Linked DNA regions of Bombyx mori. The protein of the gene in region 3 purifies or fractionates together with the protein of the main gene of each other region. This does not show direct contact. Links are inferred from orthologs where the notes say so. Each region holds a gene or a part of one and is shown on either strand. Other genes may lie near its edges.

Region 1 (4,799 bases), on a different chromosome or scaffold from region 3:
GTACACACCACAAGATTACTATAATGTAATAGCGCAATGTACAAAATAGGATAAATTCATTTTATATGAAATAAAACGCATCATGCATATTTTGAAACACTACCACATGCAGAGAATAAGTAAATTCTTGTAATCAGTATCTTGTAATTTAATTGCCGTCTAAAATAAAATTTTATGTGTTGTTTTGCGTATTTGTAAACAAAATTATATTAAAATGAAGTATATTTTAAGCGATATTTGATTTTTCAAAATTGAAATTAACCGATTTTTACAATTGTCTAATTTTGAAAGTGGTGTAAGTCCATTTACAGCACATAAATATGTGTTATCGTAGTCTTATTAGCCAAAAACAAATTTATATAAACAAATTCAATGTTGATAAAACAACAGAAGCAATGCCAGACCTCATAATATGATTTGCCATTAATTTTCTCGAAACAAAAAAATATGGACTTACACCACTTTCAAAATAAACGGTCCATAAGTTCTAAGGTCTCAGTATAGTTACAACGGCTGCCCCACCATTCAAACCGAAACGCATTACTGCTTCATGGCAGAAATAGACAGGGCGGTGGTACCTCAAGAGGTCTTACCAACAGTAATTACGCAAATTATAATTTTGCGGGTTTGATTTTTATTACACGATGTTATTCCTTTACCGTGTAAGTCAATCGTGAACATTTGTTGAGTACGTATTTCATTAGAAAAATCGCCCCGCCTGAGATCGAACACTGATGCATCGTTCAACACGAATGCACCGCACGTCTTATCCTTTTGGCCACGACGACTTCAAAATAAATAGATAAATTATTTAAAAAATAATAATTATATAATAAATAAATAAATTAATTAATTAACAATAAATAGAAAAACGAATTTCAGAGATTCGCCTATATAACCATTAGCGTATGCAAGAAAGCAGACTGCATGAATGCAAAATTAATGCAAGCTATGTGACATACTAATTAACCCACACAAAAGACAAAATTAGTAATTTTTACTAATTGACATTTAAATAAGAGGACTCTTGGTTGTCAATGTTACTGAGTTAAGATCTTACATAAAGCATGATAAATATCTTGGCATGCTCATTAAATAGATGCAGATTAAGCGGAAACAATCACTTAGAACACAATATAATGCACATACGGTGGAATAACATCAGTTATGCAAATTATGTAATTTTTCATGAGAAACGTTGAAAAATTCAACATCTTATTATACAATTCATATATAGTTCTGCTAGGCTATAGAAATAAAATGATAATATTTAAACTACTACTTTAAACTTCATCAGTAAAAGCAAAGATCTCTTTCATCTCACTGATAACTATTAAAAAAATTTATTTTCTCATACTCAGCTCAGTGTTAACAAAAATTGCATAGGTGACTTTATAGCACCGTATGTGCGATATATACAAGGTCAGTATTCTTTAAAAAATTACATGTAATGATTTCAAAGTTATAGGGACAATCCTCTAATATCTCTTTATGAGCATAGTGAAAAATAACAACTTAGCTACCCACAGATCAATGCTCATGGAAGTTTTCAAGAATAACCCCCATTCAGAAGCAGTTAGTGACAGAATAAAAACTTCATATATGATGAGAAATATAAGTTTCATTTAATGATTTTTTTATTATTATTCATCATACCTAATATTACTTATGTATTATTCATGTAATTTATTTTTTGTATTTACATAAAAGTGATGTTTTGTTTTTGTTCAAGATTGTTTCATAAATCACTTAGGCTATTAAAGAATTATTGCTACACCTGATTATTAAATAGCTTTTGATAATATTGCAATAAACACTTGTAAGTTATCATAGAACAACATGGATGTTTATATTATTTTCTAAATCTTTCCCTGAGTGCTACTACTTTCGACTCTGTTTGGAATAATGTACAATTATACTGGGTGTTAGGAGACCGTTTCCGAAAACGAAGACAGACGATAGTACTAATGACACCTTTGATGTAGGACAGAAAAAAATCGATCCTGATTTAAAAAAAACATATTTTTAAAACGTTTTATTAGCATTGTTTACGCTCCATCATGTTAGTACAGCTAAATGAAACGATAGTTTCATAAAAAAATACATTACTAAAAAAACCAGCGATGAAACACAAAATCAAACAGCTGATGCTCGGATCAACGAACGCAAGGGCGCGGCGCGGGCAGACTCGCACGATCGCACAAATACTTATTTACAACATTTGTCTAAATAGCTTCATCATCAAGATGTCATAGTAATATCGTCTGTCTTCGTTTTCGGAAGCAGTCTCCTAACACCCATGATATACAGTGGTACATCGACATACAAGCTTAATTCATTCCGTAACCTTGTCCGTATGTCAAGTGGCTCATATCTCAAAGTAATTTTCCCCACTGAAATTAATTGAAATGCCATTAATCCATATCAGTTCCCAAAAAACCACCTCAGTCGTTTTTGTTAAGTGCTTTTTAATAAGAAAAGTGTGTTTTCAAGAAGAAACTTATTTATAAATAACAAATACATATTCAATAAAAAAATTCAATAAACAAAAGAGTGAAGTGTAGACATTATCTTTTTCAGACCCATGAGATAGATGTTAAATGGTTATTGTTTGAATACAGTTAAGGTTGCATTGAAAAAACTATCATCATCAGAGTACGGTTGTCCACTGCTGGATATGAGTTTCTCCCAATCCACAGCATATAAAAAAGTCATATCTGCTGATTTAGAGCAATAAAACTCAACACAACAACAAATTTACACTATATTAACCATCTTTTGTTACCTTGCTTTACGTTTCTCCAGCGGTTGTTGTTTCTCAACATCATAAAGAGGAATCTCCATGTAGGTTGTATCCATGTTGTTGGTGGTATTACTTGAAAAAGCCACTTTCTGGACATTTTTGAGTGCATTATAAGACTGAAATAGTTTTATTATCGTATAATTCATATCATGAGTGATTTCTAAAAACAAAATCACATTTCTACATGTCTAAGATTTCAGTTCCATTAATTATTTAGTAGCGTAAGTTAAAAGTACTTACAAGGTTAAGGGTTCGAGTATGCAACATTTTTATTAAATTCATATTGTTTTTATCAATTTTAGACAACGATAATCGTTTGAGTAAAATGGTTTCGAAATCAAATCAAATAAATACAAATGATCATTTTTTAATAAAAATCCCCTTCCTCCTTTTTTGACAGAATGACAAGTGACAACTTCATAGAATAATTAGAACATGGATTAAACATAGATTATACACTTAATATATTTGAGATAGATGCGCAACTCTCATTTTTATTTTTGCTTTAGTTAGAGCCCGGGACAGCAGGCGTCGCTGCTGTCGATTATTAGTCTCCCTACCCCCCGCCAGGTGGCTTTTTTAGTAATTTTAATATTTTTTATAATTAACTCTCTTTATGAAAAAATCTTATCGTTTAGAATCGCTGAAATTCCCGGTAGTACTTATGAAATATTAAAGAACGTTTGATTGTGTACAGCATTCTAATCGATAAGACCTTTTCATACCGAGAGAAAACAGTTTTTTAAAATAAAAAGCTGTAATTCTCTGTAAGCTATTTAATTTCCCTATATTACAAACAATTTTCTGTTAAAAGATTGTATGAACGTACAATTGTATAAAATTTCGAATAACAATAACTCCTCTAGAATAATCCTACTAGCGTACACATTAAATCGAAAGTTATCTAAAAGTAATTAAGTCTAGATAATCAAATCATTCAATGTCACTTAAGTCATTTATGCGAAATATAAACATGTCAGCTTTCCATTACAAACATAGTAGACAATTTGAATTAAATTTAATAAATTTGTTTCTTAACTATAGCAGTTCTTGCTTAAAGTTGATCGTGACAGATCATGACCTTGTATGAAAATATTACATCTATAAACACTACCTATGCTTCGTCATACAATAATTGTCATTTATACTAGCATTGTAGAGATAATACACACACTAAAGTGAATACTAAATTATTCTTAGCATTCTTATAAACATTTAGAAATTTAAGAAACGATTAACCCACAATCATGTTCATAACATGTGACATTTTGTTCTGACAAACGTTTTATTACATGATTTGAAAAACAAAAAATGTTTAAAAAATGTAATGATGATTTAAAGTACTCTTAAATATTGATACTTAATTGTACTTAATTTGTACTTAATGACGCTTATAGTAATCTTAGACATGATTACATTAGTTATACTTTTATTCCCTATCTAAATTATTTCTATTCTGACGTTTCTGATGCTTTAGCTTTGGTAATACTAGATGAAACAAACAGCAGATTGAAAGAAAATCATCTTAAAGTTAATTACATTCATTACAAACCATTAGTTTACATTTTGTTACAAAAGAAACTGGTGTTCGTTACATGCAAATGAATTATAAACATACACATGCAAACATAAAATGTAAATTTATTTTTTAATCCAAATTAAATGTACACTAATATTACATCTAAATAATAGAAAGGGTTTCGAAAATTTTTATTGCACTCAACAGCAGACGAGCACGCAACCCGGCCCATGATAAGTGGTCACCAGTGCTTATAAACTTCAGCAGTGCCATAGGGGTTGCTGTCTATCACTTAAGTTTTAATAAATTATTAATATACTCAGTCACAAGCATATTCATTTCACATAATGAAAATGTAAGAAACATAATCATGTTTGGGCATTTTCATTTATATCTGCTCATACAGAAAACACAACTTAGCAAATATATTCCACAGTTAATCTAAATAATTGCAAATAATGCTTTTAAAGACCGTTG
Region 2 (4,918 bases), on a different chromosome or scaffold from region 3:
GAGGCAATCATTGGCTCTATGGTGGACAGACAATGTATAAATAACAAAATGAAAAATGAAAGAAAGAGAAAAATGTCATTCATAACAATATTTAAATTAATGATGACTTGTAATGTAATATTATGAGAAATTATAAAAAAAAAACCCTTATAAAAACATGGAGTATCATGAAATGCATTATTTAGTAAAGTCATAATAGTGTACATAGTTACAACTTGTCATAAATTTCTACATTATTTGGCAAAGACTGAAGTAGCTGAGTTATTGTTATGGTTATTACCTCCAAAAACATTGACGAAAATCGTCTTCACTTTGGGATCAGACTCTAAAATCTTCAAAGCTGCAGAAACTTGTGATTGACCAACTCCACCTCCAAGGTCTAGGAAGTTAGCAGGTTTGCCACCATTCAGCGTGATGATATCCATAGTGGCCATGGCAAGTCCTGCACCATTAACCATGCAGCCAATACTTCCATCCATTTCAATGTACACCAAATTGAGGGAATTTGCTTCTCTCTATAAGTCCGAAAACAAATAAAATTTATCTAAACATATTGCCTTAGGAGTGATGTTTGAGAATAAGCCACAAATAAATTGGGCTGGAGAGATTTACTGGATCAGACTAAGGTCCACTTATGACTGTAATGAGTCAGTTGGTGATACTACTTAGTGATGGCCAATAGTGACCTCCGTAGAATACCAAGCCATCTAAAACATACACAAAAATTGCAATTGAAATTATAAAACCTAATGATGTGTTTCAATATTAATGAAACTGTACTTGATAGTTATATACTATATTATATCATCATGCTATTTCGGCCTGCTTAAATATTTCTGTTTCAAGATTCTGTCACTAAATATCAAAATTCTTTTTTATAAAACCCTACTGAGACCTAATATTGTTGAAGGCGAGAGTTTTTCAAATAACATTCAACCATTACCTATTTCTACTTTCTTTGTATGTTTTGATCATTAAAAGATTGATGATTAAAGAAAATTGCATTCGGGCTTTTTTACACAAAATTATGATGTAAATGTTGAGTGACATCTACCATTTTCATAAAAACAGTTCTAAACAGTAAAAAAATGAGTTCAATAAATAAGTTCACGACATTCAGATAACCAAAAATGATATAAAGATAGCAATAGTTGCATTTAAAATAAAGACAAATGACGTATTTATCAGAAGTAAGATAAACTGAGTTATGTAAAATAAATTGATAGTGTCAAGTACACACTGTTTTTTCACTTTATCCTATCTTGGGTTCTGATGTTATTTTATGATACCCAAGACATTATTTAAAAAAAAAAACAATATAATAAAAAAAACAAAAAGTAACAGTTGACCACATCAAAAAACATGTATGCAGTGGCATGTTTTTTATGTTATTTGAATAATGTTTATAATTCTTAAATAATAAGTTACCCTGCATCAGGCTGCATATCTGTTGCCATATATTGGTATTTTATAAATGAATTGAAATAATTTACAGCCAGTATTTTGTACTTACCTCACGTGGGTCAGTCTCGGAAACATCATCAAGTGCAAAGATCTCCTTTTGTCTAAACTTAGCATTGTCATCAAAATTAATCTTGGCATCAACTGAAATGACACGTCCATCATCTGTTTCAACCAGAGGGTTAATTTCAAGCTGTGTAGCATCCACCTTAAATAGATTTTTAACAATAACTATGTATTCTTTTTACACATTAGTGTCTAAGATATTTTAAAAGGATCCTAAAGGCAAATCAATATGAAAATATGTTTAGATCATCATCATCATCATTATCATCTGTCCACTGCTGAACATAGACCTCTCCAATTGATGTCCAGTGCGGCTAGTTCATTGCCTGTTTAGATATATCAATAAAATTAACAGATTAATGTTATCTAACTTTAAAACTTCTGTTTTTTGTTATTCAATTATACCTTCAAAAACAACTGCCATAGCTTTTTTACTTCTTCAGCACATTTGCTTTTTAGTGGTCCTTTGAATTCTAAAAAGTCAGCTATTTCATTTGCAACTTTGTCACTAATCCCTTCAAAAATATCTACTGGAACTGTTTTCACTAAATGTGGGGTTTTTTCAGCCACTGCCTCTATATCCATACCTCCAGCTGGAGAAGCTACAATGGCTGCACCATTAAAACTTCTCTCCATTACAATACTAAAGTATGTCTCTCTTTTGATATTCACACTTTCTGCGACCATAACTTTATTTACTAAAATACCTTCTTTGGGAGTTTGTTTAGTAATAAGCTTGTTTCCTATCATATTTTTAGCTAAGTCGACAATCTTGTCCCGGTTTTTTGTAAGATGAACTCCCCCTTTAAACCCATTGTCAAAGTGACCTTTTCCTCGTCCTCCAGCAAGAATCTGAGCCTTGACTACATATTCATCAGCTTTAAAACCAGATAAGGCATTCGTATCTAGTTTGGAATCAATAATTCTGAAGTCCTGAATGGAAACCTGATATTTTCTCAGAAGATCTTTGCTATGATGCTCTTGAAGATTTAGGTGTCTTGTTGAAATTACTCGTGGACAATATGTGGACGAAGCAAGGTTTATGAGTTTAAAACTTTTTAAATTCTTAAAAGCGGCCATAATTTAATTTTAACTGAATCTTAACCACGAAACAGGCAGTCTGTAAAAGATGTGGTTCGCAATTTAATTGATTATTGAATCTAATGGTCGGTGCAAATATATTACAAGCTAGGAAAATATAATTTGAACTTTGGTCACAGTTTAAAAGACTAAAACTCACCTTACTGAACTAAATTTAGACAATTTTCATTGCAAAAACTGCAATCTGCGGAGCGCAGGGAAAATTCCACTAAATTTTATTGGATAAATTGAAAAATCACTCGCGTTAACGAACTTTAATATTATGTACTTTTATCTTAAATAAGTCTATTTCATAACCTCTACGAGACGAGTTACTTTACTTCACCACGTAAAACAAGTTATGTTTTTTTGTTTGATTCGTCTATTGAACAGGCAAAGGGATATAATTATTTTTTAATTTTGTTATACCTTTGCAGACAGACGAGTTACGGCCCTCCTGATAGTAAGTGGTTACCATTGCTCATGGACGTCAGCAATGCCGGGGCAGAGCCAACCCGCTACCTACCATTAAATACATACAATAAAATTTTATAATGAAGCATTTACTCTATCCGGCGCGGCGGTATTTTTTTCAATTACAAAACACGACGTGAGGTTTTTTTTTTTAGTTGGAATTTATGGCCTGGTATCCAGACCTTTAGGACAACACGACATGAAGTGGTATGAAATAATGTTGTCAAAGGATTAAATAAAAATCAGCTCAGAAAAGAAGGCGATACCGCAGGCAGTGTTTTGGTAAATTTGGACAAATTATAAAACCACATAGTCTTCATAAAATATTGGTTTTCACTATATATAGGCTCGTAAAAAACGAGGACGCCTCATATAAAGTAAAAAAACTTTGGTAACGCTAGACCTCACACATCTTTAGCCACTCAGCAAAAATTAAGAGAGCTTGGCTGGGAGGTTTTAATGCATCCGCCGTATAGTCCTGACCTTGCATCTTCAGATTCCACCTGTTTCGGTCTCTTTAGGCAGTCTCAGGTTATCATCACGAGAGGATTGCCAAAACCAATTGTCGCGGTATTTTGATCAGAAGCTTCAAAATTTCTACAGCAATAGGATCATGTCCCTACCTACAAGAAGGCAAAAAGTTATTGAACAAAATGGTACCTACATACTTTAGTTAATTGTAAATAAACTATATTAAAAAAATGTTGTGAATTTTCTTAAAAAATGCGAAGAAACTTTTTCGGCAACCTGTTATTAAAAAATATCCGGTGAAAGGGAGCGAATTAAGACGGCGCCATAATAGCAAGTGGAAAAATTTAAAAAGCTAATTTAAATATATTAATTAAGAAGGAAAAAAGCACTTCTTCTGTAAATAGGAATAAAAGTAAATAGTTGTCATTTTAAGCATCGAGCGAGCTTACTGCAACTTAAAAGGTCACCGTTCTTGTCGAACCCGTCGCTTGCGACGAAGGGCTTGACGAGTAAATTAACTCTCAGACACAGCCCACTGAGTTTCTCGCCGGATCTTCTCAGTGGGTCGCGTTTCCGATCCGGTGGTAGATTCTGCGAAGCACGACTCTTGCTAGAGTTCGTGTTAGCATCGTCATCAGGTTTGAGCCCCGTGAGCTCACCTACTAGTTACGGTTACGCTAGAATAGCCGCTCCAGGCTACCAGCTTAGGTAGGAAAAAAAAAAGCAATTTAAATTAATGTATTGGCTAAGGACATAATTGTCATAATTACAATTAACATGTCATAATTATTAATTTAAAATTACATGTTTCGTAAATAGTCATCTTCTTTTTATTAATTTAAGAAAGTAAATAGGTTTCTTTCCTTTGTTTCTCAAAACAATACAAAACAAATCTTTACATTTATTGTTAAGTTAAATTTCGATTCCGAATAAGATTCGACATGGATAAATATCTTTTTTACTATAAAATTATTAGGACTAAATGTTTAAGCTTATCAAATAAATGTAAAATCTAAAAGGCACATAAGGAGGGTTCTTTTCTGTAAGTGAATTATTATCACAATTTAAAAATTATATTCATATAATTGTTTACTACACTAAGATTATCTAGTGTCTGGACCTATTTGGATCTGAAGACATTATGTTGAACTCAGAAAGCACGGGCTAGTTTATTTGTTGCTAAAAGTATGGAATGTTACAAGAGAGATCATCATCATCATCAGCCTATATCTCTCCACTGCTGGATGTAGGCCTCTCCCATAGTCCGCCACAATGAACGATCCTCCGCCTTCCGCATCCAATCTCTCCCAGCATATCGCCGCAAGTCAAGAGAGATCAGTACCTTGAAATAAATAAGTCTGTGGTA
Region 3 (4,306 bases):
ACTGTTATTAAATTTTATTTCCCTTAGAGTGAATTTATGATAAGCACTATGTTTCTATGTTGAGTTTCATCAAGTTTTTGGGTGGACAGTCGTTTAATACTGTGCCTAATGTGCGTTCTTAAAATTTTTAATGACACAATCATTATGTTTGTTATGTTTTTTTAAATCTTAAACTAATAAGGAAACAATGTACTACATGTAGCTGATCAGATTATTTTTCAAAATAAAAATAACCGCAAATATTCGTATCTACGTACGTAGATACTTGGGATGAAAATGCAACCAGGCGCAATTGTATATAAGTAATATAAAATGAATATAATTCATAATAATTTCCAAAAGTAGCCATGACTTTTTTATTACTATTACACAGGGTCCCCTATTATATTTTCAGCTGCATCTATTATCTTAAGCATTTGGTAAATGAACTATAATTGCCATATTTCATTTGATTGGCAACTATATGCAGTCTATGGAGTGCATAGCGTGACTGAATTTTCCATGTTAGAATGAGCTACTTAATCTTAGGTGGTCCCGCTCTGATTATAAAGGAAAAATCTATATTTGATAGAATGTTTAATTTGGATGTATACAAATTCGGGATAGTCTCTTAAAATATGAATGTTCAGTGCCTCATGTTCAATTATGAATGAATGATTGATTATGGCGATCCCACAAATCTCGATTTTTACCATCACCGCACCGTCCACCACTACAGCAGAGTTCGTCCGCACTACTGGAACAATTGCGCTCTCCCTTCTTCATCCCAACAAATCATTAGTCTCTGACATGAACAGTTCCAAAGCGTTTCATGAACGCTATGACTTTCAAATGAGATTGAAATCTTACCGTTAACGGTAGTTAATGGTCCTTGAATATCAGTGAGCATTTAACAGCTGGGCCGTATTTATCAGTACTGATCAAAGGCATAAGAAATAATAAATAGCTCGGTATCGATTGGGACTCGTATACATGTGTCGAAATTGAAAACAAATCCTATTAATCTATAAGTTCTTACTTGAAAAAGAAAACGATAATATAAAGTTACATCACATTTATTTCTGATTCATATAATGTTGCGGGTATGTACATTTCAAATATATATATAATCTATAAATAATACTGAGAAACGATATTCAAAATTTACAAAATAAAATTAGCGCATGAACATTTTACATATCTGTAAGCGTCGAAAAGCTTAACTGGACAAGCTCCGACCCTGGCTTTGTTACAAACTGATTTTTATGGGATTTAGATTATAAAAGGAACAAACACCAGTGAATATTTCCGTTATTTCCTGAGTAAAAACTTACACAACTATGTAACTATTCAATAATGTCGTTAAAATTTTAAAGTAACATGTATTGTCATATTATTATTATCTTAGATGATACAGATTTCTTTATTGTTTCTTTAAGTACTTAAGATAGATATGCTGCTGTAATAATTTGTACAACGTTTAAAAACCACAATAAATGCCGCATTCCGTCTTAACGGTTTATAGTTTACATGAATTATAGTCTGCTGGTGTACTCTCATGATACACGTTCGTATTTAGATATTTCTGGCACACTATTGAGTATCTGGCACTGTTTCATTTGTACATAATTATTTTCAATGTTATTATAGTTTAGATTAAAAAATTTACATTTCAGAGATTGAACTAGTGAAACTTAAATCTTAAATAAAAAATAAATTATTAATGTTAACATAACATTTATACTAAACAGTGGCGTTTCGTTTGAACACTAAAGAAGTATCGGGCGGGCGCCGCACGTCGGGCTGTGTTGGTCTCGCGTTGGTCATTCACGTTCAAAAATGTTTCAATGTAGCCCTGTGTACAGATGGAGAAAAAATTATTACTGGTGGTGGGACCTCTTGTGAGTCCGCACGGGTAGGTATCACCACCCTGCCTATTTCTGCCGTGAAGCAGTAATGCGTTTCGGTTTGAAGGGTGGGGCAGCCGTTGTAACTATAGTGAGATTTTAGAACATATCTCAAGGTGGGTGGTGCATTTACGTCGTAGATGTCTATGGGCTCCAATAACCACTTAACAGCAAGTGGGCTGTGAGCTCGTCCACCCATTCAAGCAATAAAAAAAAAACTTCCACGTGATCCATTCTAAGTTGACTGATTTCAAGGATGGTTAGTAGAGTCCTACTTGCGGTGTTGGCGGCGGCTAGTAGGTGCGGATGACGGGCGGCACGGTGCTGCACTCGGCGGCGTCGAGCGTGCGGTCGATGACGGGGCGGTAGGTGAGGCGCGTGTCGCCGGTCGCGGGGTCCGTCTCGGCGAGCGTGTGCTTCCTCCAGTGCTGCTCGAACGGCAACTTACTCTGTAGGTGATAGACGACGATAGTTATTTGACTGGATTTAATACGATGAACAACATAAAGCTGAGTATTTTTTTTTTTCTCCCTACGTATAGTGTTTCCCATTATGGCCACTAGATGGCGATGTTTGGAATCCTTGCAAATCTTAATTGACTTATTTTTTTAGTAACCTAACAAGTAAGTGAGCTCACGGGGCTCAAACCTGACGACGTTGCTAAAACTGGCCCTAGCAAGAGCAGTGCTTCGCAGAATCTACCACCGGATCGGAAATGCGACTCGCTGGAAAGATCCGGCGAGAAACTCAGTGGGCCATAATTAACGTTAATGCGATCTAATAGGTAGAAAAGCTAGCTTCACGCAGACAGTTCGGTACGTATGACATTAAATCCATTGGGCTTAAAATAGTTTAAATTAAATAATGTGCCATACAATGTTACAACTTTTTTGATTGAATATTGTCTTTTTTCGATGAAAATTCATCTGCTTTTAGTTGTCGAGAGTTTAATCGCCAAAAAAAATAGTACTAAACGACAGCTTTAACTGCATAATATTGTTACATGCCTGAAAATTATGCACTTTTATTAACCCTCTTTTTCTGATACACCTTGATGATTGTACCTTTCCCCGAAATTTGTGTTGACAATCCCCAAGAAGGCATTACATTAATATCTCACCTGTCCCTCGAGAGGTTTAGAGTAGTCGTACTCGTCGCGTCTGGTCTTGAAGTCCTCTCGGGCGTGGGCTCCGCGCGACTCCTCCCGCGCCAGTGCTCCCTCCACGATCTGTACCGAGTTGATGAGAAGATTCTGAAGCTCCAGCGTCTCCACTAGATCACTGTTCCAGATCAAGGACCGGTCGGACACCTTCACGTCTTTTATCTGCTTGTAGATCTCGTGAATTTGACGTTGACCTGTGTTAGAAAAAACGAAAATTCACTTTATAACATTTTACAATTGCAAATAACAAAAATAATGGCACTAAAATAAAAAAATCGGTGAAAAAAACTTGAGAGGTGTCAAGGGACACCTGGATGGAACGAAGTTCCTTTCGATTAATTAGTGAAGGAATAGTAATAAAAAATAAAATTTTATTTTATAAAATATATTTATATAATTATAATCAATTAATTAAAATAACTGCTTTGTTTTCAATGGGAGAGACAGACAGAAAAACACTCGCACGCCGCACGGATTACAACTATAGCAAAAAGTGTCGTTACAACTTTTCGTCTTAATTTTTTCCGTCTAGCCCCCTTTCACAACGCGCGATAAGGAACTTCGTTCCAAAAATCATCATCGATCACATGAACGGGAAATTATAGAGATGAACCTCTTTACAGCGTTTCTTACTTGCTCGCTCCGGGCATTTCAATATTGCAATAATTGTTACGTTATAATACACATTGTAAAAATTAATATTTAAAAAAAATCTAATATTAAAAAAAAGAAAAAATACAATATGCCCGCTGAGTTTCTTGCCAGTTCTTCTCAGAACGGAGGCTAGTTTTTCTGAATTGGCAGTAGTTCTTTTTGACGTTCAACAAGTACATATATAATTTCATTTATGATGAATAAATTTTTTTATTTATTTGATATGATTCTATTCCGTTACATTAAATCCTCGTTCGACGAGATATTATTATGCGAGTTACGACTTTACGAACTTGAATAAGCATGCGATTTCGAATTACTTTCCTTTCAAACTATTTAGAAGCGTACTGAAGTCAGTGTGTGTTTACTGTGTGTACAGGTGTGGTTTGTTATTGATTCTTCGTGTTCGCGGGATATTTTCACTCGGAATATAATAAAAGTCAAACACACTATTTCAATAACATATCTATAATGTTCAGATATATGTGTACAATATTATAATATAAACAAAAAGGAGTAAACGACGCTAGGCACGAGACGGTACAATTAAACTAAAATTTCGTTTTTATATCACTACACAGCATAAAACAAAGTTGCTTTCTCT

What was found.
Region 1: the proteins of succinate dehydrogenase [ubiquinone] flavoprotein subunit, mitochondrial (region 3) and succinate dehydrogenase assembly factor 2-B, mitochondrial purify together in Homo sapiens (co-immunoprecipitation; 3 studies listed by BioGRID and IntAct, counting the BioPlex papers as one, with this or other methods). This does not show direct contact. The link is inferred for Bombyx mori from reciprocal best matches to the Homo sapiens genes SDHA and SDHAF2.
Region 2: the proteins of succinate dehydrogenase [ubiquinone] flavoprotein subunit, mitochondrial (region 3) and succinate--CoA ligase [GDP-forming] subunit beta, mitochondrial fractionate together in Homo sapiens (co-fractionation; 3 studies listed by BioGRID, with this or other methods). This does not show direct contact. The link is inferred for Bombyx mori from reciprocal best matches to the Homo sapiens genes SDHA and SUCLG2.

Annotation. Positions count from the first base shown.
Region 1 is NC_085119.1:6,985,611-6,990,409, forward strand, and holds the start of succinate dehydrogenase assembly factor 2-B, mitochondrial, read right to left. Parts: upstream 3,241-4,799; 5' UTR 3,086-3,240; coding exon 3,044-3,085; intron 2,920-3,043; coding exon 2,786-2,919; intron 1-2,785.
Region 2 is NC_085121.1:7,626,079-7,630,996, forward strand, and holds the start of succinate--CoA ligase [GDP-forming] subunit beta, mitochondrial, read right to left. Parts: upstream 3,241-4,918; 5' UTR 3,175-3,240; exon of another isoform or gene 3,148-3,174; intron 2,990-3,147; 5' UTR 2,768-2,989; intron 2,648-2,767; 5' UTR 2,608-2,647; coding exon 1,933-2,607; intron 1,670-1,932; coding exon 1,514-1,669; intron 516-1,513; coding exon 281-515; intron 1-280. UniProt on the Homo sapiens protein: GTP-specific succinyl-CoA synthetase functions in the citric acid cycle (TCA), coupling the hydrolysis of succinyl-CoA to the synthesis of GTP and thus represents the only step of substrate-level phosphorylation in the TCA.
Region 3 is NC_085109.1:8,413,339-8,417,644, forward strand, and holds the end of succinate dehydrogenase [ubiquinone] flavoprotein subunit, mitochondrial, read right to left. Parts: intron 3,243-4,306; coding exon 3,007-3,242; intron 2,336-3,006; coding exon 2,180-2,335; 3' UTR 2,162-2,179; intron 1,835-2,161; 3' UTR 1,040-1,834; downstream 1-1,039. UniProt on the Homo sapiens protein: Flavoprotein (FP) subunit of succinate dehydrogenase (SDH) that is involved in complex II of the mitochondrial electron transport chain and is responsible for transferring electrons from succinate to ubiquinone (coenzyme Q).